Arabidopsis thaliana: one gene and its partners. The protein of the gene in region 3 interacts with the protein of the main gene of each other region in a pairwise test. Each region holds a gene or a part of one and is shown on either strand. Other genes may lie near its edges.

What was found.
Region 1: the proteins of AT3G20510 (region 3) and AT1G15760 interact in a two-hybrid assay, tested with the Arabidopsis thaliana proteins (one large-scale study listed by BioGRID).
Region 2: the proteins of AT3G20510 (region 3) and AT3G50910 interact in a two-hybrid assay, tested with the Arabidopsis thaliana proteins (one large-scale study listed by BioGRID).

The regions. Positions count from the first base shown.
Region 1 is NC_003070.9:5,422,774-5,427,166, reverse strand, and holds AT1G15760 (Sterile alpha motif (SAM) domain-containing protein), read right to left. Parts: upstream 1,552-4,393; 5' UTR 1,454-1,551; coding exon 845-1,453; 3' UTR 501-844; downstream 1-500. Other genes in the region: AT1G15770 (mediator of RNA polymerase II transcription subunit), read left to right, coding at 1-275; AT1G15757 (Molecular chaperone Hsp40/DnaJ family protein), read left to right, coding at 2,591-2,687, 2,771-2,925.
Region 2 is NC_003074.8:18,913,722-18,925,225, forward strand, and holds AT3G50910 (netrin receptor DCC), read left to right. Parts: upstream 1-5,605; 5' UTR 5,606-6,065; intron 6,066-6,463; 5' UTR 6,464-6,467; coding exon 6,468-7,233; intron 7,234-7,608; coding exon 7,609-8,031; intron 8,032-8,123; coding exon 8,124-8,278; 3' UTR 8,279-8,580; downstream 8,581-11,504. Other genes in the region: AT3G50880 (DNA glycosylase superfamily protein), read left to right, coding at 1-609; HB28 (homeobox protein 28), read left to right, coding at 2,699-3,448; AT3G50900 (uncharacterized protein), read left to right, coding at 4,401-4,745; LPPepsilon1 (Phosphatidic acid phosphatase (PAP2) family protein), read right to left, coding at 8,682-8,909, 9,012-9,085, 9,171-9,396, 9,501-9,812.
Region 3 is NC_003074.8:7,154,738-7,166,241, reverse strand, and holds AT3G20510 (Transmembrane proteins 14C), read right to left. Parts: upstream 5,566-11,504; 5' UTR 5,359-5,565; coding exon 5,160-5,358; intron 4,521-5,159; coding exon 4,433-4,520; intron 4,324-4,432; coding exon 4,251-4,323; 3' UTR 3,847-4,250; downstream 1-3,846. Other genes in the region: SVL3 (SHV3-like 3), read right to left, coding at 500-753, 832-1,333, 1,418-1,560, 1,644-1,931, 2,007-2,048, 2,137-2,638, 2,736-2,845, 2,966-3,226 and 1 more; PAP18 (purple acid phosphatase 18), read right to left, coding at 5,998-6,217, 6,461-6,549, 6,648-6,836, 7,022-7,690, 8,170-8,316; AT3G20490 (Rho GTPase-activating protein), read left to right, coding at 9,860-10,178, 10,659-11,355, 11,443-11,504. UniProt on the Arabidopsis thaliana protein: May be involved in free fatty acids export.

The DNA of each region.
Region 1 (4,393 bases), on a different chromosome or scaffold from region 3:
TCTCACCACAAGCGCTTTCGTCTGCAGTATGTGATATTAGATCTGTTGTAAGCATGGTTGATAGGATTGCTGGTTCAGTACCAGGCAAAGGTTCAAGAGCTTCATTTGGTGTGGACTTGGTTGCAATGACTAAGTGCCATCTCCAAGAAAGAAACTTCATGACGCAAGATGGCGACCATGAAAAGGAAGCGTCAGACAACCCCAATGCCATCAAGTGTTGCTTCATTGGGAGGAAAGCGTTGGTAATAGCTACAAGCATTTTGCTGGTTTGGTAACATCAGATATGGAATCTACTGTGACTTGTGGTGGCAAGAAGCCAAGAACTGAGGTATGGTTTTCAGTTACACTTCCCTTAGGTATATCTGAAAATTGACACACACACAACAGATAAAATTTGGAAGCACAATGTTTTGTGTGCTCTAGTGTAGACTGTGTAGTGTCCTGAGCTCAAGATCTTTCCGATTACCTCAAGAGTAAGATCACTCCGGCAGGCTTAGCGTCATGGTTATGTGTGTAAACAGAGCATTTTTTGAGAAAAGAGTAAAAAGTGATAAAAGCTGTAAAGAAGTTTTGACTGGAACAGAGACTTAGGCCAAAAGCAAAGACTGGAGAGACAGACTCATTACAATGACCCCACACACTCACATACACACCTGACACCACCACTCAACTCTATTTTCCAATTGTTAACTAACAAAAATTAACTAGCCTAATCACATACAAAGACAAAATCAAGAAAACATGGTGGAAGAACCCTAAAACCTCATCTCTCACCATCAATTCTGATATAAAGAACGAAGAAGAAGCTGAAAGAGAAAACATAAAACAGAACTTAGAGATTTTTCTAAGTAGGTTTGAGATTCTGAAACATTGAATCCCATTTGATATCTTCAAAATAAGTATCTTGAGCGTAAAGTTTCTCATCCTTGAAACTGTAATCGAAAACCATGGGACTTGAGAAGCTATCGATTCTACAAGGAGTCCCATTGGTCAACAACAACCTCTCTTGCTTCTCCAATCCACCATTTCCATTGCTCGGCATCACAGATCTCTTGTTCCTCTTCAGGAATCCACCTCTCCACTTCCCAATCCCGTTGCTAGTCTTCTTCGGCACCAACACCAGAGCTCGAGACGACGCCGACTCTTCTTCACGGCGGATCCAGGCGCGTACGTGATCGGATAAACATTTCCTGGTTTTCTTAATCGCAGTCACGACTCTGGAGATGGAACGAGAGGTGAGAGGAGGAGAGTTCTTGCGATCTCGACGAGCGAGTTTGAGAATCTCGAGACGGTGTTTGGCGATAGAGATTCCCATGCTCTGGAGAAATTCGTGGTCGAAGTAAGAAATGTCTTCGTGTTCGAGCTCGTTCTGAGAGAAGGAGAGGCCGTATTCGTGGATGAGAGAAGGTTCAAGGTTTGTTCTAGAGAGCCATGAAAACCACCAATCTTCCATTGAAGAAGGTTTATGTTTGTTTGTGTTTGTGTGGGAGATGATGTATATATAGAGGAAAAGTGAGTGGGGGGCTTTTTTGACTTTTGTGCAAGTAGCGGGCTTCGTCGTTAAGGTAGTTGAGACGTAAAGAGGGACTATATCTGATTAAAGTGAAAATATAAGAGGGTCAAAAGTGAAAAACACACAGAACAAAATATTGATTTAATATCAGTGGGTTATTCATTTTTTCAAATTTTATTCGAGGAAATGGGGATTACATTTGTGTAATATTACAGATAAAGTAAACCCATGCTTGTGTGAGTAATAAAAGAAAAGATGGGAGTGGAGTGGTGGGTATGTAATATGTAGAGAATATCGAGAAATTGTGTGAGAGTGTGGAGAATGGAGAGTGACCATCAATCACGGTGTGTGGGAAAGGAGCAAAACCCAGTGGGATCTTACTTTTTTTGTGTATGGGTCACTCTTGTATTTTATAACTAAAAAGTTAACACGTAGTATTATTATGTACTAATACACCAGTGTTTTGGAATCTACTTTGCTTTGGTTTTACTAAAAAACTAAACATCGCTTCGAAAATAAGACAATTAAGTGAGGGTAAATATTAGAATACACTTTTTACTATTAAAAACTGGAAATTTAAGGGATTCCTGATCATGTCATTTACATAAAACTGATACAAAATATATCATATACTCAATAATAGGAAAAAAAAAAAAATTGGAAAATATATCACAATTAATAATAGGGTATAGGCCAACTATTTCCTCCCTTATTAGTAACAACACTATGCAGTATGCACATTGGTCAGAGATGAAACTGGAGAAAATCTTCCAATTAATTTTCTTAGATTTATAGTCAGGAAAAAGTAAATTTTCCCCCAACTGTGTGTAAAAAGAATAAAAGCTATTTAGTACTAATGTTCAAAACCTACTTAAATGAGAAATTACTTTTCTTTATTTTTCTTTTGACTTATGGAAATAAATTCTTGAAAGATTATGTTTTTTTTTTCATCTTTGACCATAAAAGATACTTTTTTTGTGTGTGTGTGAAAAGATACCTATTTACATGTCTGTTGTATATATAGATGTGTGATGGGCATGAGTATAGAGAAAAATCGTAAACAGAAAATATCATAAAATGGCTATCACCAAAAAGAATTTGATAGCATTTGTTTTCACCATTCTCTTTGTTATATCTTATGTTCATTGTCGTTCAACATCTGATATCGTTTCTGGTACCGGCTGATTATTCTGTTATTTTTACTATGAACGTAATTTTATCATTTTTATGAATGAACTAATATTAAATAAAATATAGGTTCTGGAATAAAAGAGGATGAACATGTATGCTTCAAAACAAGTCCGTGTTTGCCTGAAGTCGGAGGGGAAAAAGGCTGCATTGCGTTTTGTTCAAGAATGAAGTTTACAACAGGCCTTTGTCTTGGTTCCGTAGTATGTTGTTGTTACACTTAATAAATTATATATGCGTTTAATTTGACTGAAATGTATAAAATATCCAATCTAATAAAGATTTGTATATGTTTGAATAGTAGTAATTTACATAATTAACATCAAATATAATAGTTATTACACTAAGTTTTGTACAAAAAGATTTGCAAGATCAGAACTTCACCAAAAATCGATTTGTTTTTCTTTTCTTGGAGAGTGTATGGTGCATGAGTTGCTGATCATATATTCGGTAAAATTGCGAGAAACACTTATATTTATTCTTCTTCTTTTTTAACCAGAATTTGAAGGAAATGAATATGAAGATTCTATATACATTGTTTGACCATAAAATACGCCTTTTATAACGTGTGTTCGTGTTATACTGTTAAGTCTGTTATATGTATATTTTCATCACCAACTGAGTCAAACACCTAGTATCGATATATTGCCATATGACCGGGATATGAGAAAACGAAGAAGAATTTGAACCAGAAAAAGAAAAAGAAGAAAAAACAGAGAAAAGGAAGAATAAGGAAAATGGCAAAGCAATAAAACCTTTATGTGAACGTGTAAGAGAAGGGGACACATACATTAATGGAAAGCGACATATCCCTAAAACTAATAAATAATGCCTTAATAAAAGACCACTTTCTTGACGATTAAAATAACAATTTCTAATACTAGAGTATATTTTTGGCCATACGTACTTGGCAAATTTTGTTGCTAAATGAAAATTTCAATAGTTGAGTTCAATATTAGAGTCAATGGAGAAATGAAAATAAAGAGAATCTGAAGTTGGATTTATCATTCAATTTGGGGGATTATCGCACAGTTACCGGTATAGAGTAGAGGCAGATGTGTACTAGCAGTCGTTATTAAATCGTGAATGATTAAAATAAATAACGTTTCGTTTTCATTAAATGGGGAAATAATAATCGAAAAAAAGAAAGAAAGAAGAAGAAGTTAGGGCTGAGGTTGATCAGAGCGTCACTGATCTCGTGATAGTGAGACTTTTGGACAGATACGCCGGATGGGACCCACTTGCTTTGCTTTTGGCCGGATAGCTTTTTAACTTAAAGAAAAAAATTGCAACCACCATCTATCCCTCAATGCTCAATTCTAACTCCTTTATTTATTTATTTATTGTGATGCTATAGTTTGTTTCTTCTTCTTTCCATTAAATAAGTCAGATTTTATTTTCTCTTAATTAATACAGTAAGTTTTAAATTATGTTTTAGTTATAAGATATGAATTAAACACATAGCATTATTTTCTTTAATACGAGCAAATTCTCCGAAATTTGTAAAATACATAGAATTTTTCTATCAAAAATAAAAGTAAGAGTGTAGATTTGTATTTGATGGGATTTTTATTCTAACTGTGATATCTATATGACAAAATCTCTATTATTCTAACTTTTTTCTTTTTCTTGATATCATTCTAACTTAATCATTAGACTACAATCAATTTGTTTAGAATATATTTGTGTTGC
Region 2 (11,504 bases), about 12 Mb from region 3:
ATCGCTCTACGTCACTTACAAAGCTCCGATGAACTTCTCGGAGCATTAATCACAACGCACAACGATCCTCCACTGTTCGACTCAAGTAATACTCCGTTTCTCTCCTTAGCGAGATCAATCCTATACCAACAACTCGCGACGAAAGCAGCGAAATGTATCTACGATCGATTCATCTCTCTATTCAACGGTGGAGAAGCAGGTGTTGTTCCTGAATCTGTGATCTCACTCTCCGCCGTTGATCTTCGTAAGATCGGTGTCTCCGGGAGAAAAGCTAGTTACCTCCACGATCTAGCTGATAAATACAACAACGGTGTGCTTTCTGATGAATTGATTCTGAAAATGAGTGATGAAGAGTTGATTGATAGGTTAACTTTGGTTAAAGGAATTGGAGTGTGGACTGTTCATATGTTTATGATCTTCTCGTTGCATAGACCTGATGTGTTGCCTGTGGGAGATCTTGGTGTGAGGAAAGGTGTGAAAGATCTTTATGGTTTGAAAAATCTTCCAGGTCCATTGCAAATGGAGCAGCTTTGTGAGAAATGGCGTCCTTATAGGTCTGTTGGTTCATGGTACATGTGGAGACTAATCGAGTCTCGTAAGACCAAATAGCACCTGCCTGGTAATAGTTTAACAATACCTCTCTTTTTAGGTTGATAGTAACTAGAATTGTTATGTTACATAGACAAACTTGATTCTTTATAGAATATTTCATGCTTGACTTGGAAATTTGAACAGTTACATGATTAGAAAGGATAGGAGTATAACATTTGTTTGACATTAAGTTCTCTGGATTGGTTTTTGTTTGGAATGCTTTCTAGAAGTAGAAATCTCCCAAATCTTAAAACAAGAATCATAAAGTATTTATCTTTTCTTGATGTATCTTGTTTATCTAGCAATAGTATCAATCCTAGTAAGTAACATGACGATACTTTATCACTGAAGCTTCTATATCTGGTAGTTATCGTTGAAGTGTGATTTGTTGCAATCAATCATTTCAGTAATCGGGCAGTTAATATGATCCTGTGACGAAGAAGCTTTTCCATGCCCATCACTTCCTTTCCAAGTTTCACTTGCTGGTAATCTGAGTTATTTTGTGTCTGTAAATTATGGAGCACGTAAGAAAAATCCTTCTTGTATTTTAACTGTATTCCACGGATTATATTTCTGTGACTGTTGTAAACATGTATCATGTATGGGGTTTCATTTGACTTGGATATTGAGAAGCATGGCTTATTTACCAAGTCTTTTGTTTCTGTCTTGTACTGGGCTTGGCCCAATGTCTCATCCGGCCCAATTGATCAAGTGGTAGATAGCTTGGATCTGATTTTGCCAAGACAGATGTGAAATCAACCCTTGCTTTCTTTTAACTTAAAATAGTTATAGGAAGAAATTACTCTTATTCAGAGAGACGAATTTAAAAGTCTAAGATGTCACGCGTAACATTCAAACCTCTTAATAAAAGTTTAGTATATGGCTAATCTATTCCCGTTGATTGATTTCAATATTTGGTAAGAAATGAAGATGATCATAAAAGTGCTACACAGCTGTGGGAAACAAAGAATCTGAAAAATGAGACATGAGGCATGTGGAGATAAATAAAAGTGCAGGTTTTGTTGTGCTTATGTGGACCAGCTTTTCATTCTTTCACACTTTTAATTCTTCAACCCTCCCCACCAGAAAAATAATTTATCATGTCTTCTCTTTCAAGACTATCATTAAACTCTGATTGTTAAAGCTTATTTCATTAAACAACTCTATTAGAAACCCTAATTCCATTTGTATGGGAAATTGAAGCTATAGTAGTTAACTTCTAACTCCATGCAAACCATAAATACCTCTCATAATGATAGTAAGAGTATTATTTTCTCATTGATTATCACAATAAATCTGATCAAAGAATTTGTGGAGATCGATAAATAAAGATACTCCTACTATTATTATGACAGCATAAAGGATTGACAAACATTGTTGTTCGAAGTTTTAATCTATTTTATGATATGTTAGAACTTAAAATCATAGTCCTAAAAATTTATAACTAACAATACATAAGACATAATTTTAACTTACATTAGAAAAAAGTTTTGAAAACTAACCCATTTAACTAATTTAAAATAATCCCATAACTTTCCTCTCATTTATCTCTCTCTCTCCACTCCTCAAGTCTGTACTTAGTAGGTAATAGTTTGACTAAGCTAGGTTTTTTTGCAGACATACATTAATTAGTAACACCATCAATAATCATCATAAAAGAAAATAGAGAGAAAGAGAGATAAATGCAATAATGGGAGATGGACCAAAGGTGCAGGTGGTGAAAGATAACAAACATATGACAATGTCTCGAAATTAAGAGGCACCACCACACATACACACACACTCTCTCTCTCTAGTAGGTTTGTGTTTTTAAAATCAATATTTTTGTTGGATTCTCATGTGAAATAAAACTTGATGGGTGATAGGAAACAAACACACATACGTCATCATCATCCTTAATTTCTATTTCTCCTTCTTCTTCATCATCAATATCAATCTCATCTTCCACTACTCCTCCCCTCTAACAATAAGCAGCATCTCTATAATCCCTAAGGTGAGTCCAAAAGTCGTCTATTAATTATTAAAGGAGAGATTTTTGCATGCATTATTGAATGATTTATAAGTATTAATATTTAACAAAGTTTTGTTGTTTTGGGTCAGATTCACAATGGAGCTTGGAGGAAAATGCAATGCAATTACAACCACAACAATGATCTCAACAGAAGTAAAGCCACATACGGATCCGGAACCAGAAGCCAAACCCGAATCAGATCCATCCATGGCTTTATTCCCGATCAAGAAAGAAAACCAAAAACCAAAGACACGTGTCGACCAAGGAGCTAAGTACCGGGAATGTCAGAAGAACCACGCGGCCTCAACCGGAGGACACGTGGTGGACGGATGCTGCGAGTTCATGGCCGGCGGAGAAGAAGGTACACTCGGTGCTTTAAAATGCGCCGCCTGTAACTGTCACCGGAGCTTCCACCGGAAAGAAGTGTACGGACACAGGAACAGTAAACAAGATCATCAGCTGATGATAACTCCGGCGTTTTACAGCAGTAACAGCTCGTACAAGCCACGTGTAATGCATCCAACGGGTGAGATTGGACGGAGGACTTCATCTTCAAGCGAGGATATGAAGAAGATTCTGAGTCATCGTAACCAAAACGTTGATGGGAAAAGTTTGATGATGATGATGATGAGGAAGAAGAAGAGAGTGAGGACAAAGATCAATGAAGAACAAAAGGAGAAGATGAAGGAATTTGCAGAGAGATTAGGGTGGAGGATGCAGAAGAAAGATGAAGAAGAGATTGATAAGTTTTGTAGGATGGTGAATCTGAGGAGACAAGTTTTTAAGGTTTGGATGCATAATAACAAGCAAGCAATGAAGAGAAACAATAGTAACATTAGTGAATAGTTTGATGATCTGATAAAAGTGAAATAAATTTTTACAATCCTGTTTTGCTTTTATATATAATTTTTGCCCTTCAAATTATTCAAAATCTTGAGTATAAATCTGTGGAATCTTGTATGTTTTGATTGTTTTATATTGTATCTGGGATTATTTTTTTCTTTTACTTAATTTGTGGTTGAACAAAGTGATAAAATTGGACCTTCAAATAAAGAGGGAAAAACGTGTGTAATTAATAATTTAATGCACAAGTATGGTTAGTACAATTAGCTGGAATAGCTCAGTTGGTTAGAGCGTGTGGCTGTTAACCACAAGGTCGGAGGTTCGACCCCTCCTTCTAGCGTTTTTTATCCTTCAAATGGCTGTTTTAAAATTCTGATTCATACTTTTTTTTTTCTGTCTGAATAGAAAGTTGATTTTGTTTGAAAAATCTGATTCATAATCATGTACATGCATGATAACAGTCTGATGTTAAACCATCGTAAGGAGCAGATTTAGCATTCTAGAATAGATCTATTCTGCTTACTTTTACCCCAAATTTAGATTTTTCCATGATTAATATATTGTTAGATATGGATCAGACAAAGAAGATTAGTCTAAACTCTAAAGCCATTGTCCATTTGATTTGTCTAAAAGATGTAGACGTAATAGTCAGCATAAACACACATTTGACCGGCGATTTAATAGGGACGAACAAGAAGATGTATACATCATGTGGGTGTAACACTAACACATGCTTTATTAATTACATATACAAAAATTTAATTTAGTTAGTTGGAGATCTCATACACACAACAATAATTAAAATAAAAGTCAAACAGATCTACTATTTTCCTTTTCATATCACAAAGCAAACTTGTCCTACTACTTAAATCAACACCATCACGAAGAAAGTTTCAAGAACTCACCTAAAACACAAACAAAGGAACTCCACTTTTTTTCCACACCACATCACACCATGTTTAGAGCCATGAGCACAAGGAAAATCCATGGTGGCTACGAAAAGCTCGGCGATGAAGAAGCGAGACTGAAGAGGGTCTCTAGCGTTCCGGCTAGTGTTTATGGTCATTCAAGAAACCCGGTTCAAGAAGTGAAGAAGACACCGACAGCGAAACCAACCGGTGGTTCTGTTCATCCTTTGTTTAGTTTCTTTGACGTTCATTTTCAAAGAAAGAAGAAGAATACGGCGAAGAAGAAGAGTTTAGCAACGGCGAAACCAGAGTTTGCTAGGTATATGGAGTATGTGAGAGAAGGAGGTGTGTGGGATCCGAGTTCTAACGCACCAGTGATTCATTACAGATAGATTCGTCAAGGAAAATGAATAAAAGATTTGTATATCGTCTTTTTTTTCCAAATATATAATCTATGAGAAAGCCAAACAATCCTTGATTCGATTCGAAAAGATGCATCAAACAATGTATTAGTCATTTTTGCACGAATTGATGAGTGTTTTGTACACTCTCATGGAGATTCCGTGAAGAATAAGATAAGTTCAAGGGTCTTGACTTTAATATATGATCAAAAAGTTGATTTTGGTTTTCTTATTTAAAAGGATATGTTATATGAACTGAATCAATTCGTAGTAGTTGCTAATATAGAAGCGGTCCCAGAGCTGATATCTTTGAATCATGTTCTATATTCTTCATTTCCCACCTTAGCTTTTATTTTAAGAATTCAAAATCAAGTGAGAACAAATTCAAAATAAAGTGAAGAAAAATTCAAAATTTCCAGTAACAGATGCATATTTGATTTTCCCTTTTCATCAAAAAATAAAGTTACGAATAAAATATTATTATATTAAGGAGAAAAAAATAGATATGATCATAGTCTCATATTTCTTGTGAAGACCAGTTTTTTTTTAAAACTATATTGTTAACCAAGTTTGAATACTCGCTCTTTATTAAAAGCGTGTTCACATGGGTCACGTAACACGTTTAAGAAAAACCTGGCTCTAAAAATATTATCAAAATCCCAGATTTGACGAAGACAAGAAAATAAAAAAAGACTTTTAAAATCGTTTTCAAAATGGGCTTTACAGATTCGTGAACAGACAAAAATTGGGCCATGGGTTAATTTGCTTTTTAGGCCACGTCACCGTTTTAGTGACGTTTCTGAATATTCGAGATGTGACCCCACTTAAACAAGATCCCTTGGACGACGTCGTTTCGACCACTTCACGAAACCCTACCGTCGATTTATTTACACAAAGTACCCCTTCATTGTATAGCGCCGTCCTTTGCTGTAACTCTTACCGTCAAAGGTTATATCCGTCTTTCCAAATGTCTCCCAAAGACACGTTTTAAAAAAATAAAAATAAAACGAAGAAAATCAGAAAATGGGTCGCCAAGAATAGAGGAAGAAGCAAAGAAGAAGAAAAAAAAAAAACAGAGCGTTTCAAATATTTGCGGAGATACAAAGCTGAGAAGAGATAAAAAAAGCCTTGGAGAAGAGGTTTTCTTCTTCTTCTTCTTCTTCTTCTTCTTCTTCCCTCCTCTCCTCTTAACGATGTCGTATCACGCTTCTTCTTATCTTCTCCGCCGTCGTCTTACTTCCGTATAACCTCGATCTCTCACCGTTGAATCTTCCTCAGCTTTCTTCCGTGGAGATCTCCTTCGCGCTCGAGGTAAATCCTTCTCTTACGCCTCCGGATTTGATGTTTTCACCTTTCTCTGTTTGTTGTTTCGGTGAAATTTCTGGAAATTTTCGTTATGGTAGGTCTGAATCTCGAGAGATTCGATTCATTTTCATCGGCTTGACCTATTGTTAGCTTCTAGATTATCAGATTTGTGATTTGATTTTGCTAGCTTCTTTTTTTCGTGCGAGAATTGAATCAAGTTTTGTTTAGGTATACCGATGATTGTGGTTTGAGCACGCGGTGTTTGCTTTGTACCTTCCCAATAGCTAATTCTCACTTATGCGAATGACCATTGTTGGTTGATTTCTGATTCGATTGAAATGAAGAAACGCTCTTTGTGGTTTCGGTTTTTTTTTATTACTAATTTGATACTTGAATGATTGCAGAGCCATGCCTACTTTTTCTGCTATTGCTTTGGATAGAATGCTAGAGCCAGGGGCTTCCACGTCTGTCGAGAGTGTTCCAAGCACAACTAATTTGTTTTATTCAAAGCCACCGATATCAAAACTGGAGAAAGGTAAAGGTAAATTACCTAATGAGAGGACAGTTACTCGTCCTCTGATGTCACCTGCTCTCTACGCCACACCTGATGCGATTCCGCTTCCTAATTCGCCATCGTCTTTCCCACCGTCGCCTTATATCATCAACCACAAATCACGTGGACCTCCACGTCTTCTTAAAAGCTCTTCTGAGGCTAATGTTGTGTCTTCTTCCCACCAGAAGACGCTGGAAGAGGAAACTATTACTGCTGAAACAGATGTAAAGGTTTCCCCTCGGAGGAGGTCCACTTCCTTCTCGTTTCCTATCACTGAGGTTACTGAAGATGATTATTCCAATGGAGTTCATGCTCGTACGGTTGGAAACTATAATTTTGATGGTATTGTTGATGGTCCTGTTGGAAATTGGAGTCCGCTTGATGGGAAAAGTGGGAATGGGAAGTCAGAGTTGGATAACGCTGCTAATGGTTTAGAACGGGTAAATGGTCTGTCTGAGCCAGTCCCTATTAAAACAGACAAGGAGAGTGAGTCAGAAGATTTCTATGACCCAGGTGAATCAGCAAGCTTCACAAGTAACACAGACGTAGAGGGTGATGCTGGGGACGAAAGTTCACAAAGACTTGCCACACCTGTGGGAGAGTTTTATGATGCTTGGGATGGTACTTATCTAAATCTTATTCTCTTACTAATCATTTCCTTATGAGATGGCTGTCAATGCTTATGATCTTAACGTTCCCAGGATAATATGATTAGTCACATTTTAGAGTCCCTTCTTTTTAACCTTTGAGCATTTGAGGGTATTCTTTCTTTAATATGCAGTAGTAGCGCCTTGTCATGCTTTGGAATTTTGTTTTCTTCTGGATATATTGAAATTTGAAAGTGATGAGTTATCTTTCCAAATCATGATGATTAATGCATTATTCATTTCCCTTGATGAGTATCTGCAAAGTATCCTGAAAGTTAAGCTTTAACTCGACTCTATGATTCGGAACTATTTAGTATTTTGTAATCCATCTAATTTCTTGGTTTTTCAGAACTATCAACCGACAGTGGAATGCAGAGTTCAGTTAATAACATCGAATCTGAATTAAGTGAGATAAGGCTGAGTTTACTAATGGAAATCGAGAAGAGAAAACAGACAGAGGAGGCTTTGGAGCAGATGCAAATTCACTGGCAGAGACTCCGTGAGCAGATGGCTCAGGTGGGTCTGTTCGTTCCTATTGATCCTACCGCCTCCACCAACAACATGAATCTATCAGAAGAACTACGCTGTCAACTCGAGATTGCGAGGTTTGTCTCTGACTCTTTAGGCAGAGGTATGGCAAAGGCCGAGGTAGAGATGGAGATGGAATCTATGCTCGAAACTAAGAACTTTGAAATCACACGGTTGTCTGACCGTCTACACTACTACGAGGCCGTGAACAGAGAGATGTCTCAACGAAACCAAGAAGCCATAGGTAGTAGAAAATCACTCTCATTCACCAAATTTATCCATTGTCATTTTCTATCGTATAATAAAAATCTAATCTCACAACTCTGTTGATACCAGAGGTGGCACGACGAGAGAGGCAGAAGAGAAAGAAGAGGCAGAGATGGATTTGGGGATCAATTGCAGCAACCATTACTCTAGGAAGCGCGGCATTGGCATGGTCTTACATTCCTGCAGCCAAACCATCATCTGAAGTATCTCTTAAGGATGAATGATTAAGTAAGTCTCTTGTATACGTAGTGGGTTTGATGCAAGCAAGAGAAATAAAGATACAGGACGTTTAGCGTACGCCTTGTGAATAGAAATATATACATATTTGGTTATTGTTTTAACTGTTCTCAAGAGGATGTATAGCTCCGAGTAGCTGCAAACACATTTTTCTTGCGGTGGCATACTGATGAGTGGCAGCCACAGTCACTAATATTTGGTTCGGTTTGGTTCTTATTAACATTCAATGTTAGCTCTAGTGTAAGGTGCTTGCCTTGCTTACATCTTAAAGAAACCTTATTTTTTAAAATCTTGATTTTAACAAACGGGCTCTGAATCCTTCATTTCGATATTTTGAAAAGAATTTGAGGGATAACAATTTTAAGCTTTATAAGTAAAGCTTGGTATTGCTTATCTCTCGTCTTTGAACCAGTTAAGTACAACGTACGCTGCGAAAGCTAGCGCAAATGTAGCTGCAAACAGAAATACAGATATTTGCACTAATAGAGATGCCTCGAAGGCTTCACGAAGAAGCGAATTCCACATTGTGTACCATAAGATGCAGAAAAGAGAACCAACAATGGCACCCACCACCACTTGACTGCTTGTGTGCAGTTTTTGAGAAACCCTTAACCGTATCTGTGATAGTGCAGAGAGTGTGAGATCAATGGCAACTAAATGATTTCATATATGAATGAAAAGCTTGAATCAATTAGGTGAAACTTGTTATAACAGACTTACAAAGTATGAACCCAATGCGAGGATTAAGCCGCTAAGAAACAAAGACACACCGTTGGTTCCAAGCCATTCCATAACTGCAGAAAACACGACTCGAGTGAATCCGTTGTAAACAGTTCCACGATAGCGAACGATGAGTAGTGAACAGCTTAAGCTGCTTACCGGATAAAACAGCAAAGACAGATATGAAAGAAATGGATTGAGCATGAGAAGATGGCATCCCGGGATCAGATCGCAATGTTGTAGTAGGCCTCTCTTGGTTAAGTATACGTTTAAGAACTACAGAGAGAGCAGAATTCGAAATCGATCCAATGACTGCCCACAAGGCTGCACCATCATGTCGCAAAAGAATGATTGAACCAAATAGAACAGACACAACCCATTTGCTCTGTCATCATTAATTAAAACCGGTCAGAAAGAAACACACATTGATACTGAAGAAACATTTCATCGAACACATTGCGTGCATGAATGAGATTTCCATTAACTAACCAGACGATTAACAATGGCTTCAATCCCACCGCCGGTGACCAAGTCTTTCCGTATCTCCGATGAGTTGTTGATGAAAGATTCTTGCTCCAACGCTCCAAATTGTTCGTTACCGTCATTGCTCCTGCTTCCGACTCTGCTAGAGAATCTTTTAACGGTCATAGATCCAAAGCTAGAGACAAACAAAGGAGACCCACGAGAGATAATCGAACTATAGCTCGAAAGTCTCGATCTTTTAAGGTACGAGGAAGAGTCAAAGTAGAAATTGCAGGTGGGACAGTGAAGAAGAAGAAGAAGAGAAGACGACGCTGCCATTTCCAAAAGGAAGATAAAAGTCAACGTAGTATCAAATCCATCGCTAAAGGAAGTAAAATTCGTAAGACGAAGAAGGGAAATATGCAAATCGAAGAAATCAATGTCTGGTTGAGAACAAGAACCTGAGAGAGAGCTTTCTTCTTCAAATCAATCTTCAAAGTTTTTTTGCTCGAAAACGAGTTTGTTATTTGTTGTTTACCTTGACGCATTTTATAATATCGTGACCACTCATATTCTTCCACGTGGCATGTAGAATAAACGGGTAAACCAATATTGAAGCAAATTAATGGGCTTTTGTTTCCTCAGCTGAGGCCCATATATTAATTAAAACCATTCTTAGTTTGATGTAGCATCAGGTGATCTGGAGTGGCTTCATGAGATATATGTCTATGGGCTTAGTTTTGTAGCTCTTTTCATTTAGCTTTTGTACAAATCCTCATTAGTTTGTGCCCAAAAAAAAAAAAAAAAAAAAAAGTACAAATCCTCATTAGTTTAAAAGGCATATGGTTGCCGAGAGGATTTTTTGTTTTGTTTTATGCTTCTCTTGTAAAATGTTGACATGAAAAGGTGAAGAAATATTTACCTGATGTTATAGAAAAGTTGGAATATTGTTGGAATATCACATATTTTTAAAAACTTATTTCATATTTTTTGTATCATTGTGTATATTACAATTAACACATTTGATTAGTTTGTTTAATTAATCTTTTTCATTAAAACATAATTAACGAAAATTATATTAATCTACATTATTAAAAAGAAAAAAAAGTTATCAAGAGGAACTTTTCGGTTTCTTTTCATGTTATTATTTCACAACAAATTTACATATTACCGCTAAGTTATAATGTTTCACGGTCTTTACGGATGAGTTATAATGTTTTACGGAGGAATTAAATATTGCTTCAATAATAGATCAACGGTGACAATGTCGTGTACACGTCGATTTATTCGGAAGAATATTTAAATGTTTCACTTTCAGCGTTTTAGAACAATGTTGCTTTATGTGGGCATACATATATAAATTAAATATGGAGGTCTAAATTCTTTGTTACCGTTTTGTGTAAAGAATCATATCAATTTTTTAAGCTAAACTAGATCTATCGGAGTTTTCTTTTTTTATATACAATTTGGGAGATCTATTAGAGTTATGTGTAAAATATTCATATTTATCCTCGATTGTGGCGATAAATACAGATATACGGTCGCAAGGTATGGAAACTACCGTGGTCACATCAAAGATTTGCATTAGCCAAGTTTTTTTTGGTTCTTTCTCGTAATTCCAAAAAATAAAAAATACTTTAGGACATGGAAAGAAAGAAAGAACGACAAAAAAAAAAAAAAAAACTTTAGAACATGGAAAGAAAGAAATTTAGTATACAATGGGCAGAGTGACGATTGACGCATACCATGGCATGGCTTATCATAGGAGATGAAAACTGTGTGTCGTTTTTGGAAGTAAAATATATTTAATCAAGAGCAAGATGCGTTCATCACACTGTCAAACTCAATCTTCCAAGTACAGTATTGGCAGACATTGATGATGACCTAAAGATTTTTTTTTCAGAAAATAGAAAGAATTAAGCTATCAATTTTAAAACCGATTACGATGTTTTTGCACCTTATTAAATGGGGAGTCGCCAATTATAGGAGCTACTAGTTTGCGTAGAAGTTTATCTCCACTCTATATAGAAG
Region 3 (11,504 bases):
GAATGTTCTTGAACCTCGAATCCAAAAGGGATCAAGATAATTCTCAGACGAATAAATTTTATTTTGTAATATGGCAAAAGGGTTTGTCTGAGAAAATAAGAAAATAAGGTTTGGCCTTTGAAGAAACCAAAAATGAATCTGGTCTCTTTTGGCCTCAAAAGAAAGAAGGAACAAACAAAAATGAGTTTGCCACTTAGAATCTTTCCCTTATGTTTGATTGTTTATTTTATGTTTCCTTTTTTCCTGATAAATGGATGGTTAAATTTGGGTGAAGAATCCATTGGAAGAGAGTTAAAAGATCAAATAAGCTAATTTTGGTTTTGTTGGATTTAAAGTTAAGTTTATCCATTTCCATATTCCTATTAATATCTCTTCTAAATTTGTAATTCTAGATATCTTATTGAAACCTTAAAAAGAAGAATGATATAGTACTAGACATTGTTATTCATAAGGTTCACTTGCAGATACTGCAGTCGAAGTCGGTTACAAACACTTATCACTAAACTGAAATGAAGAAGCACACAAGAATAGCCATGGCTATAAATGCAAAGGGAACTTCTATTGCTTTTTCCTCTGCCTTTGATGGAGAAGAAGCAGGAGGCTGACTTCTTGCTTCAGGCAATGGTGGTTCCGTCACATCTGAGTCAAGTAGTGCTGGATATGGAGCTTCAGCTGGTGGAAGAAGCATTGGATTCGCGAAAGTTATGAGCTCACCGGTTGTAGTCAGACCAAATTCGCCGTAACACTTGTTCTCTGCAATCAAACATAATCTCAGATTGGCTCAAGGAAAGTTAAAGAAGATATAAAGAGAAGATGAGACTACTTTCTTACTTCTGTATCTTGCAGTGGTTGCTGGGAAGTCAGTGATGATGCCATCAATTTGGACATCGCGGACAAAAGAGTCTATCTCTAACGTTGGATCATCGTAAAAGTCAAATGCATGAGTTACACACTCGTTGCTAAATCTTTCAACGTAAACACGAAGCCCGTTTGATTTTAGCTTTGAAGCAATATTTGTCTCCTTTTCAAGGATGATAAACCCTTTGTAGGGAAAGACTGATTTCTTACTGATGACAATCGAGCCTGCGAAATTCTTGATGTCTTTGATCGCCGAATCTGCTACATCACGGATGTTGTCGTCGACTCTATAGACCAGCTCGTCATGATTCATTTTGTTCTTCTCCTTGAACTTCATCAAGACAGACTTATCAGTAGACTGGATCAGTATTGTTCTTGCACTTGTCTTGTTTTGTTGAGTAGTAGCTCTCTTCAATTCATCTAGTACCGCATCGACCACGCTAATTCCTTGATGTTCCACTAAATAAGCTGCATTCTAAGAAACGAAAAAATGCTATATCAAGAAAAGAGTCATGTGTTGTACTTATTTACACACAAGATTTGCAGATAGAACTCCCACCTCCACTTCTATCAAGAGGCCTAAGAGAGAGCTGTAACGGTTTGGAAGAAACAAGAACTCGGATAATGTAAGAAACTTCCCAGCCTTGTTGTTTCTTGGGTTTCTGAATAAACCAGAGTCCTTTTCAAGATTCGAAATAGTGGCTGCAATAAAGAGGGAAACAAAGCCAATTCATTAAAAGTCTTTATATTGAATCTTGATTTTGCTTTGTAGTTTTGGCTCTTACGCTTCAAGGTTTGTATCTGAGACATGGTCAGGCTAAAAGTGTAGATACCACTTCTCCGTGGGTTAATCTCTGAAACTACTGATGACAGATTTCTGAAGCTTGTTTCGATGACATTAGTGCTGTTTATAAGATCAAAGGAGCTCATACAAAAGGGAATCTTGTCTTTAGACATCTGGACATTGCAATCAAGAATATCAGCCCCGTCGCTTGCAGCTCTCTGATACGCCAAGTCAGTACAGCCCGGGAAATCTCCACTCGCTCCATTCTTCGAGATAATAGTTATCTTAGCTGCAAGACATAACTGTTAAAATGCAACTAAACGATTTAGTGATCATATGTTTATGGTTTTCTCTTGTGCATTACCTTGCTCCTTAGCTCTTTTAGGGTCCACATGAGAGAAGCAATCTTGGAAAGAAAACAAGAATCATAAATGTAGCTATATGCAATGCAAAACTAGATGAAGAAACAGAAAAACAGTGTGTTTTTTACTTACTGATGGCTCGATATGGAGTCACCGGGAAGTCTGATAGGAAACCATCAACGGAGAAGTTTCCGTTGTCAATGAAAGATAGATACTCAGCCGTTGGATCATAGCTGTAGTTATAAGCAATTACAAAATCATTGGCAAACTCCGAGGCGAAAACTTGTAAGCCTTCTTTATGAGCATCTGTTACAAGCGACGTGTGGGGTTGTAGGTAAAGAGCTGAATCTACGGGCCATATGTAAGATTTTGGAACAAGAATTCCAGAAGAAAACGTTCTTATATAACTTAGATTCTTGGCAAGAGAGCCGTAAGATTGGTTGGTGAAGGGTTCTATGTGTTCTTGTTTCAGAAACCTAAAGATGAGTTTTGTCACAGTCGGCTTGACACTGTTTTTCATGCTCTTCAGGAAACTGATCCCTGGAGAAGATATGAAGTTAACTTTCAGGCGTCTTGATAGAGAGACAACAGAGTTTCTCATACTCAAATTGTGTTTTGCGTAGAAAGCACTGTCCTATAAGTGTAGAGACGGATAAGTAGAGGAAGAAGATTACTTAATTATGATTCTTATAGAAAAGACTCTGAGCGTTAAAAGAGTATCTACATTATACCTGAATGTTCAACCAGAGGCCTGAAGCTGTCAACTTTGCTACTTCTTCAATAGCCAATATCGAGGATACATCATCGAATATATATGGTCTTGAGACAACACCCTGTGCCACTGTTGAGGGGAAAAAACATTTGCAGAGTTGATATACCACAAGATTGAACATTTTGATTTAAGAAGTTTCACTTACAAGAAGAGGGTTTAAAGAAACGAGATATAGTTAAAAGGACTTACATTTCACATCAGAGAGTTCCTTCCATGTGAAATCAACAGAAAACCTTTCTTTGTAATGTGGGTCAATTCTTATGACGTTAGAACCATTGTCAAGCTTCAGATTTGGAAAGCAGATTCCAACACCATCCTTTGTTAGTTGAAGATCACACCAGAGCATTACGTCTGGTGAAGTTGTTATATTCACCAACTGATATGCTTGAATACTGGAATCTGGAAACATACCAGAGAATCCGCCTCGAGCAATCACAGCCGGAGGTTTCCCTAAAGAAAACACATCAAGAAACTGTAAGGAACATTTATGAAAAATTCACGTACATAAAAAGTGAGAGAACTCTGTCTCTAACCACTCAATGTTTGCCAAGAACTTGAGAAAGCAGTCTGTAAAATGAAGAACGTGATCAGAATCAGAAAAATCACTCTAGGACACGCCATGGTAGTGGAGAGCTTTCAGTGTTTCTTCTTACTTTTTTTTTTTTTGCTGAAGATGGAGTGAAGAATAAGTGAATTATTGAACTCATGAGCTGTTTAGCAATAATCTACACAATCTACCACGTCCTAAAAATGGAAAAATTAGCTTAAAACGTAATCAGACTCTGCAGTAGCATTAATTGTAGTTTTTCTATATTTGTGAGAAGAATGTCACTATTCTGAAAATGGAATAAAAAGAACTTATTTTAGCTGTCACCTCGTTAAGTAGAGCCTAGCTACTAGCATGAGAATTTTTTCCGAAAAGCATTTTTGGGTCTCCATAACATTTCTAGCATGAGAAAAGCACATTTTCTAAAACTATGTGTCACCTCCATTGATGGACCTTTTAGCTTAAGTTTCCCTTTACATCAGAGCACAAATCCAACTTCTCCAAAAGAATCACCATCGCACAGCTTGAGTCTGGTTTCTATACTCTTGCAAAAGAGTTTTGCCTTTGTTACTGCATGAATCAAGATATACTTTAAGGAGAGAACAAACACATTGAAGATTTTTTGTTGTGATGACACAAGGTTACAAAGAAGTTTTGAGGATCAACTTCTATTTTGTTTTACGATGTGCTCATCCCCAGATCCCAAGTGTGTATCGAAACGGCAGATATATCTCAATATATATAGTAGTATAGCTCAAAACAGTTTGTGGTTACAAAAACACGATGACAAGAAAACACAAGACCATATGCAGTTCTTTGACTAATACAAGCTATTAAGGCGTTATGACAACCGCATTGTGTACACCAAAAAGAATTCTAATCGACAAATTCAACAACGGATAGTATCATCTGCATGTAGCAGAACCATCATTCAGCTTTTGCTGGAAATTTATTGCCACCAGTAGCGATCTTGTATACGTAAAAACAGGTCATGAGAGCACTGCAATACAGATATGGTTCTAGAGTTAAGTCAATGGTGTAAAAACTTAAAAATACCAAATCTTGATGCAAACAAAGATACTAGCCAGCCAGTGTTGAAGGATTTTTACCTGATCCCAGCAACCAAACCAGCCGGCATAATCTTTCCAGTCAGCAAGTAACGCTGTCCCATGACTAGTGTGAGAGCAGCTGCGATGACTGTATCGAAAAAAAAAGAAACATTCAGATGAGTTTCAGTCACCATAGATAATGAAAATCGATTTTGCAAGCTTGTTATATCTTTGAGGTTGGTTCTATTGTCAATCAATGGCAAGAACACTAATTAAAAACAGCTACTCAACTACAACATCTAACAACTCAAATTGAATGTTCATCTGCAGTAAAACAGCATCTTGTCCAAGAGAGACACTATTACATTAGTGGAAAAAATTAGCAAACCAATTCAAATACTGCTGCAATTGAAGATCCAAACACAACCAAAATATTAATTTTTTTTTATCTTTGAATAGCAAGTTTAGCATCATCACACAAATCACTTATTCAGATCCAGATCGTTAGTGGTCCAATAAGATCCTTAACCTTATAACATAACCTATCATCAACTCTCAAGCTAAGTTCATGATCCAACACATTGAACCATAACAAATTGAAAACAAAATGAAACAATTCCTTGGCTCAAGTGATAAGTCACTAAAAGCTATTCACATCTTGTAATTGAAAGTCTTCCCTATGGACATCTAACGGAATCATACGAATAAATCTTCCTAAACATAAATATCTGTTAAAGACATATAAACCCAGATCGCTAAAAAGGAAAGAAATTTGCAAGAAAAAAACCTGTCTGAAGAACCATAGCAATAGTGGAATTCTTCTTCTTCTCAAAAGCTTTGAGACTGATATAACCAGCGAGAATGAGTAATAATCCAGTGCCTGCACCTCCGGCGAAAGATGTTATACTTCCTTTCTTCATGTACCCGATAAATCCTCCGCCGATGAGAAGCATCCCGTACGGGATAGTGAAGCAAAAATCATGCATTTTTCTCGTGCTGGGTTTCGATTATTTTCACCGGTGATGAAGAAAATTGAAAGAGCGATCGCAATCGATGAATTGATCTGATAGAGACGATGGATCGATGAATTGATTTTATGAAAGTGTTGTGTGGTGAGCGCGTGGAAAAGGTCCGCCTTTTTTCGTCAACGGTCTTCAGACAACTAATCCTCCACTTACGGTCCATCATTTTTGTGGCCTAATTGTAATTAATTTGTAATTTTATATGTATCTCAACTTTATATTAATGTGATGAAGAATGTTTTTTAGTATTGCATTTTAAGATAGTGACAGTTGTTGTACCTAATGTGAGTAATGTTCAAAAGGAAATAGTTTTCAACATTGTTTTGTATGTCACATTCGTTGAACCATCTACATTGACAAAATCTAACGTATGTCACTTTAGCTTCTAGATTTTTTTTTTTAAGATTATAAATAGTGGGAAAAACAACACAAAGCAAAGTGCAAGTTTACAAAATTTTAAAGTTGGAACTATGATTTCTATAGAGTTGGTGAAAATCTTCTTCAATGGTGTGATTAAGAGTCCCATTGCTAACAACATTACAAGCTTGTAGATTTCTATATTTAATGGACTATTTTACTGAAATTCTCACTTTATGGATATAATTAAGGTTCCAAGAGCATTTTCCTGAGTTCTTGAGGCCTTTTCTTCAAGCATCCGGAGTTCACAAGAGAGTTTAACCAAACTTCATCAGACCTTGTTGGTTCGTCATCATCGTTCCTATGCCAGGTCCATAGCGCATGTGTTGAATTCACCATCTGAAGCTCCCCATGTCCAAAGCTTGCTTCCCTGAAGACTGACCACTCTGGTGACGGATCTTTGTACCTGAAAGTGAAAAAAACACGATCCCTTCATGATAAGTATCAACTACTTTCATCATATAACAACTGCACCGTAAGTGTGATTAGTTTCATGTAGATAATATGTTGAATTAGCTCAAGAATCTCAGACACTAAGATGCAGAGGTTTGGCATGGACACATCAGAGAATTCTTGTTCATAGTTTACTTATAACACAGAAAGAATGAAGATTTGATAAAGCTAGAAGTAATCAGTTTGAGGAAATTACTTGCGAGCCAATCCTTCTCTGTTTCCTCCATCACCTATGGTAATGTGTACGGGACCACATGGATCTGATTTACCATTGTTGACACGTTTCTGTCGAACAGCACAATAAACCAGTTTAATATCATAGGGAAACAAGAAGAAAAGCTGAGATATATTTCTATTGAGATTCAACACAGCTCTGAGCATACCGTGCGTTCATAAGCATGGACATGACCAGTAAATACAATATCAACACCGCTCGCATAAAGCAAAGGCTCCATTTCAGCCATCATTTCATCACCTTCATGTTGATGGGCATTGTTACTGTTATACCATGGTACATGGAAGAGGACTATTAGCCACGGAGTTCTTTCTCGGTCCACCTTCGAGAGATCAGCCTACACATATCATAGATAACACCAAAATTAAATCCAATAAGTGTAACAGAATCTGCTGATCTTAAAAGATTATCTCACGGAAAAAGATTAATTCAACCAAGCACTATTTTACTAACTACTTAGACCTATTGTGGCAATAAAGGGGAGATACACATAACAGATGGATGTCAAGCAATAATCCTTACCTTTAACCAGCTGTATTGATCTGAGTACCGATCATAATCTGTGTATGAGCCAAGCATGATCGCATGGACACCAGCAACCTCAAAGGAATAATAAAGATTTGAATTTGACCCACTTTCCTCATACGGCATCTTCCACCTCGAGTTGAAAGACACAAATTCATCAACTATAAAAGGAATACTCTCTTTCTCATGGTTTCCCTGTGTCACCATCCACGGCCTTACACTTGCCAGAGGCTGAACTAGTTCCCCAAACGTGTCCCACTTATGCTGCATATAGTCCGCATACGATAGATCCCCTGGAAGTAGATGCACAGCATATTTGCATTGATCAATATGATCTAGAGTCGACTTAGTCCAACCGGTTTGTCCAAGATCCCCCGCCACTGCAAAAGTAATCGGGAACTGAGCTGGTGGTGTTTTCAAATGGAACTCAGGTCCTTCTCCACCACAACGGTAATAATAAACAGTATCCGCTTCCAATGGCCCAATGACGGTATGATGTATCTTCCCTGATCTATACATTATATAGCTGTAGGAGGTGCTTTCTCCTTGACCAAGATAAGAGTATTTCCCTGGCGATGTTCCATATTCAACAAATGAAGGAGACGATTTGTCATTCGTAACCCAAGTAACTCGCATATGTTTATCTCCAGCCAATGAGATATGCACCTGCAGGTAAGAATCTCAGTATAAGAAACAGGACCAAATGAATCTAAAAACAGAACCTTTGATGTTCATTATCAAGTATCAACTGTATCATGCACTCCATAGCTACAATTTCACTCAAGCATCAATGTTTTCTTCAGAATGAAACAACACAATTCATCTCCATTGTTATAAATAATCATTTAGGAAAAGGCCATTTTTACCCAAAGTAGTGATTAGTGAAGATTACTAATGGCGTTGATCAAAACTACACAGTCATTAGATTTATCCATTAGAAAACTAGTGTTGAGAAGACTTCGGGACACTAGCAAATGGGATTCTCTGGAGTAAGCATAAACCCAAAAATCGGATCTTTCGGAGAAAACAAACAGAGACCCACATGCAGTTACAAGAATAGAAAGATTTCAGACAATTAAAAACATGATTTTTTCGGAACAAGAATCATCAAAACAGAGGAGAGCTTAAGGAATTCTAATTTATACCTGCTCGGGTACAGAAGAGGACTTTTGTTTCCATGGAAACTGCAAGGTTTCACGAGGTTTTGGTCGGACGTAATCATCTGCGGCCGCAGAAGTAAAGATTATTGACACTGATAATGTTACGAGTAGCAAAATCCCCCATTTTTCCATCTCTGCGAGCTTTTTCTTTCAGATTCAGTGAGAAAAGGTAAATGGATTCTTTATAGGCTTTTGCGACGCGGGCACGACACGTGTCTAAATGACTAAATTGTCCTTACCATATCTCGTATGAATGTGTTGATTTTCATTTTAAAAGGATAAAACGATAATTCAGTCTGTTGTCTTGTCCAATGATTTTTGTTTTTTCTTATAATTGATTTCTTATGATACCTTATGAATTTTGGTTTATTTATTTTTGTTTTTTTGCAATGTATGAAGTATTATCTGAATATTAGTATGGTCCAAGAATGAAAGAAAACACTAATCCAAGAATGACTAACAAAAAAATGAAAAAATAAAGTTGAAGAAGTAAAATGATATAAATAAAAATAGAAAGTTAGAGAAAAAGTAAAAACGGTGAATCGAGATGCTGTCACGAGAGCAAATGACAAAAAATGGAGGACAAGCCTTAACTTATAAGCAATGAATGAAGATAAAACAAAAATAAATGACAAAGTCGACCAACAAAAACAAGATACAAAAATAAAAGATGACATTGGATTCGTAATTAAAACATCTTTATTTTACACTTTTTAAGGCCAATGATGTCTTTGGTAATTCGAGTTCGAGCACTCGTTAAGTGTGAACAATTATGATAAAATGTGTTCATATGTCAAATTAGTAATACCGTGATCGTGTCACCAATCAAATTTATTTTCGGTGTAATGAATAACTCGTGAATTAAGAACTTCCATATGTCCAATTTTTGTCTTAAAACATATTATTGCAATAGATATAGAAATAAACAATAATAAAAAAATTGTAATCGATATGTATAATGTATTTATACATTACAAAATATTTAACATGATTTTGAAATTTTGTAAATAATTAATTGAAATTAGTATTTGTAATCGAATAATAAAAGTGTTGTCAATATGTCATCATCATCAGAATTTATAAATCCGAATAAAAAAAAAAGATTAGTTGATTATACAATTAAGAACAACATTAGAGTAGATGGATGCATACATTTCGCATTAGAGGAAGATCAGAAATGGAGAAGGAAAATAGTGAATCTAATGATTCATTAGCGAATAAGGCTTCTCTAAGGAAAGCATCGTCAAATTCACTTCCCAATTGTGCATCTTTCTCACTACATGGCGCATATATCTGCTTATGTAATAATTTGTTTTCTAATGTTCTGTATACTGACTTTGTAATTTCAGTTTGATATCAATGAAATTATTTGCCGGGAAAAAAAAAAAAGAAGACCGTTCACCAAATTAAATTATGGGCTTTATCCAACTTTGAAATTTCACGGCCCATTCTGATTTTTTTTCTTTCCAAAATAATTATTTTCTGCGGCGGTAAATATCCCGACGAAAATTAATACATGAGAAATTGAGAATCACTTGAAATTTTTTTAAAATCATGGATTGTGCGCTAGGCGGGGAATTTTTACGAAATCTCAAGCTTCTTCGGCACACCAAGGCGCCAATTCCATGTCTTTGAAGTCTCTTCATCTCCTAGTCCAAACCCTAAATTCATTCTCATGGATTCGATTGAGCCACCATCGTTTTCGCTAGGGTTTGATCTTGATGCTGCATCGGATCTCCAATCGGAAATCCATCAAAACCCTAGCTCCACCGGCGACCAATTAATCGGGGACGGCGATAACGAGCCAGAGTTGGGACTTACTGTCTCAGATTCCGATCGGGAGCTTGAACCAGATTTTACAAGCCCGGTTCTCAAGCGGTTGCGACGAGGGATTAATCCCAACAAGTGTTCTGTGAAAGATGATAGAAGCGTAGCTGTAGAGGATCGGGATGATGACATTGAAGAGTTCTCTTCTCCTGAGGATTTTCCTACGGGTAATTACAATTTTGAGCTTCTGCTTCGTCTTTTCGAATATGGGTCTTACTTAAACTGCTGGAATAGGAATCGAGCATTGTTAGATCTCTTATTAAACGTCAATGAGCTGATTAGCCTATCTTTCATTCATTAGGCGTCTTGGATCGTGAACACATTGATAGAAAGACCATCCCTTAGTTTATCATAGAGAACTTAAAACTGATGGATTTAGGAAGCCTGATGCAAACCCTCTTCTATTTAGATATCAGGATCAGTTTGTTGTGGCTCAAAGATGAAAACTTGATTGCAGTTGTTGACACTAATAGGTAGACTAGAGTGGGTTTGGAGCCTTCAGGCTGAGAATTTGTTATTTATAAGGACATTGATTAAGCTTCATTCCACTCAAACTGGTTTCTTTTGGATTTCTTTAGTGTAATATTTTAAGTCATCCATATTGTGTTGGTTTCATCTTGGTATAAAACTTGTGTTGCTTCATGCAGACGCACCGGCCTCAACAAGAAGTCATTTTTCTAGTTGCAGCTCAAGGGTGCCACTTCATGGTTCTGGGGTTTTATCTAATCAACCTTCTATCTCTCGGGGAAAAAGAAAGCAGTCGGATGTTCAAGCATCTGCTGCCTCTGGGATTAGTTCTGTTGCATCGTTGTTTCAGATGTCAAGTCGTAGTCCTCTACGAAGGTTCCAGCTACTAGATTCAGATTCTGAAGATGACCATCCATCCACCAGCAGAGATTTAAGCGGAGCAACTAAAAAACATGATTCATTCTCAAAGAATCAACCATCTATTGCAAGTAAACCGAAGAGAAAGGAACCTGGATCTATCCCCTGTATTAAAGATCTGTGGAAAGATTTTTCCCCGGCAAGTTCCAAGATTCAGACACCAGCTTTCGATGATGTTTGTCAGGACTATTTTATCTCCATCAAGACGACTAGCACAGCTCAGAAACAAAGCAGTGCTGTGGCAAGTAGTAGCAATAGCGGAAATCATAACTTGACTGGCTTTCAGCAAACTGAGCTATTCCACGATTTTTCCCACCCTTCTCCTCCATCTCATCGTTTCTTCTTGCATAGTGATCCAAGGATCCGGAATCTAGCTCGACAGCGGTTACCAAACTTCTTTCCTCTGGGAATTGTCAATGATAGGGAGAGCCAGCGAGAGGTGTTCCTTGTTGATTATATGTAGGTTACTCCTAATCTATTTCTTATTTTGATACTTACAATCTTCTGCTTCCTGTGGATTGACACATCTTTCGAATGCCATTGTAGGAATCAATTTGGCAGCAAAGGGAGTTCTAAAGCTGGAGACTCTAGCAGCAAAAGCTGCAGAA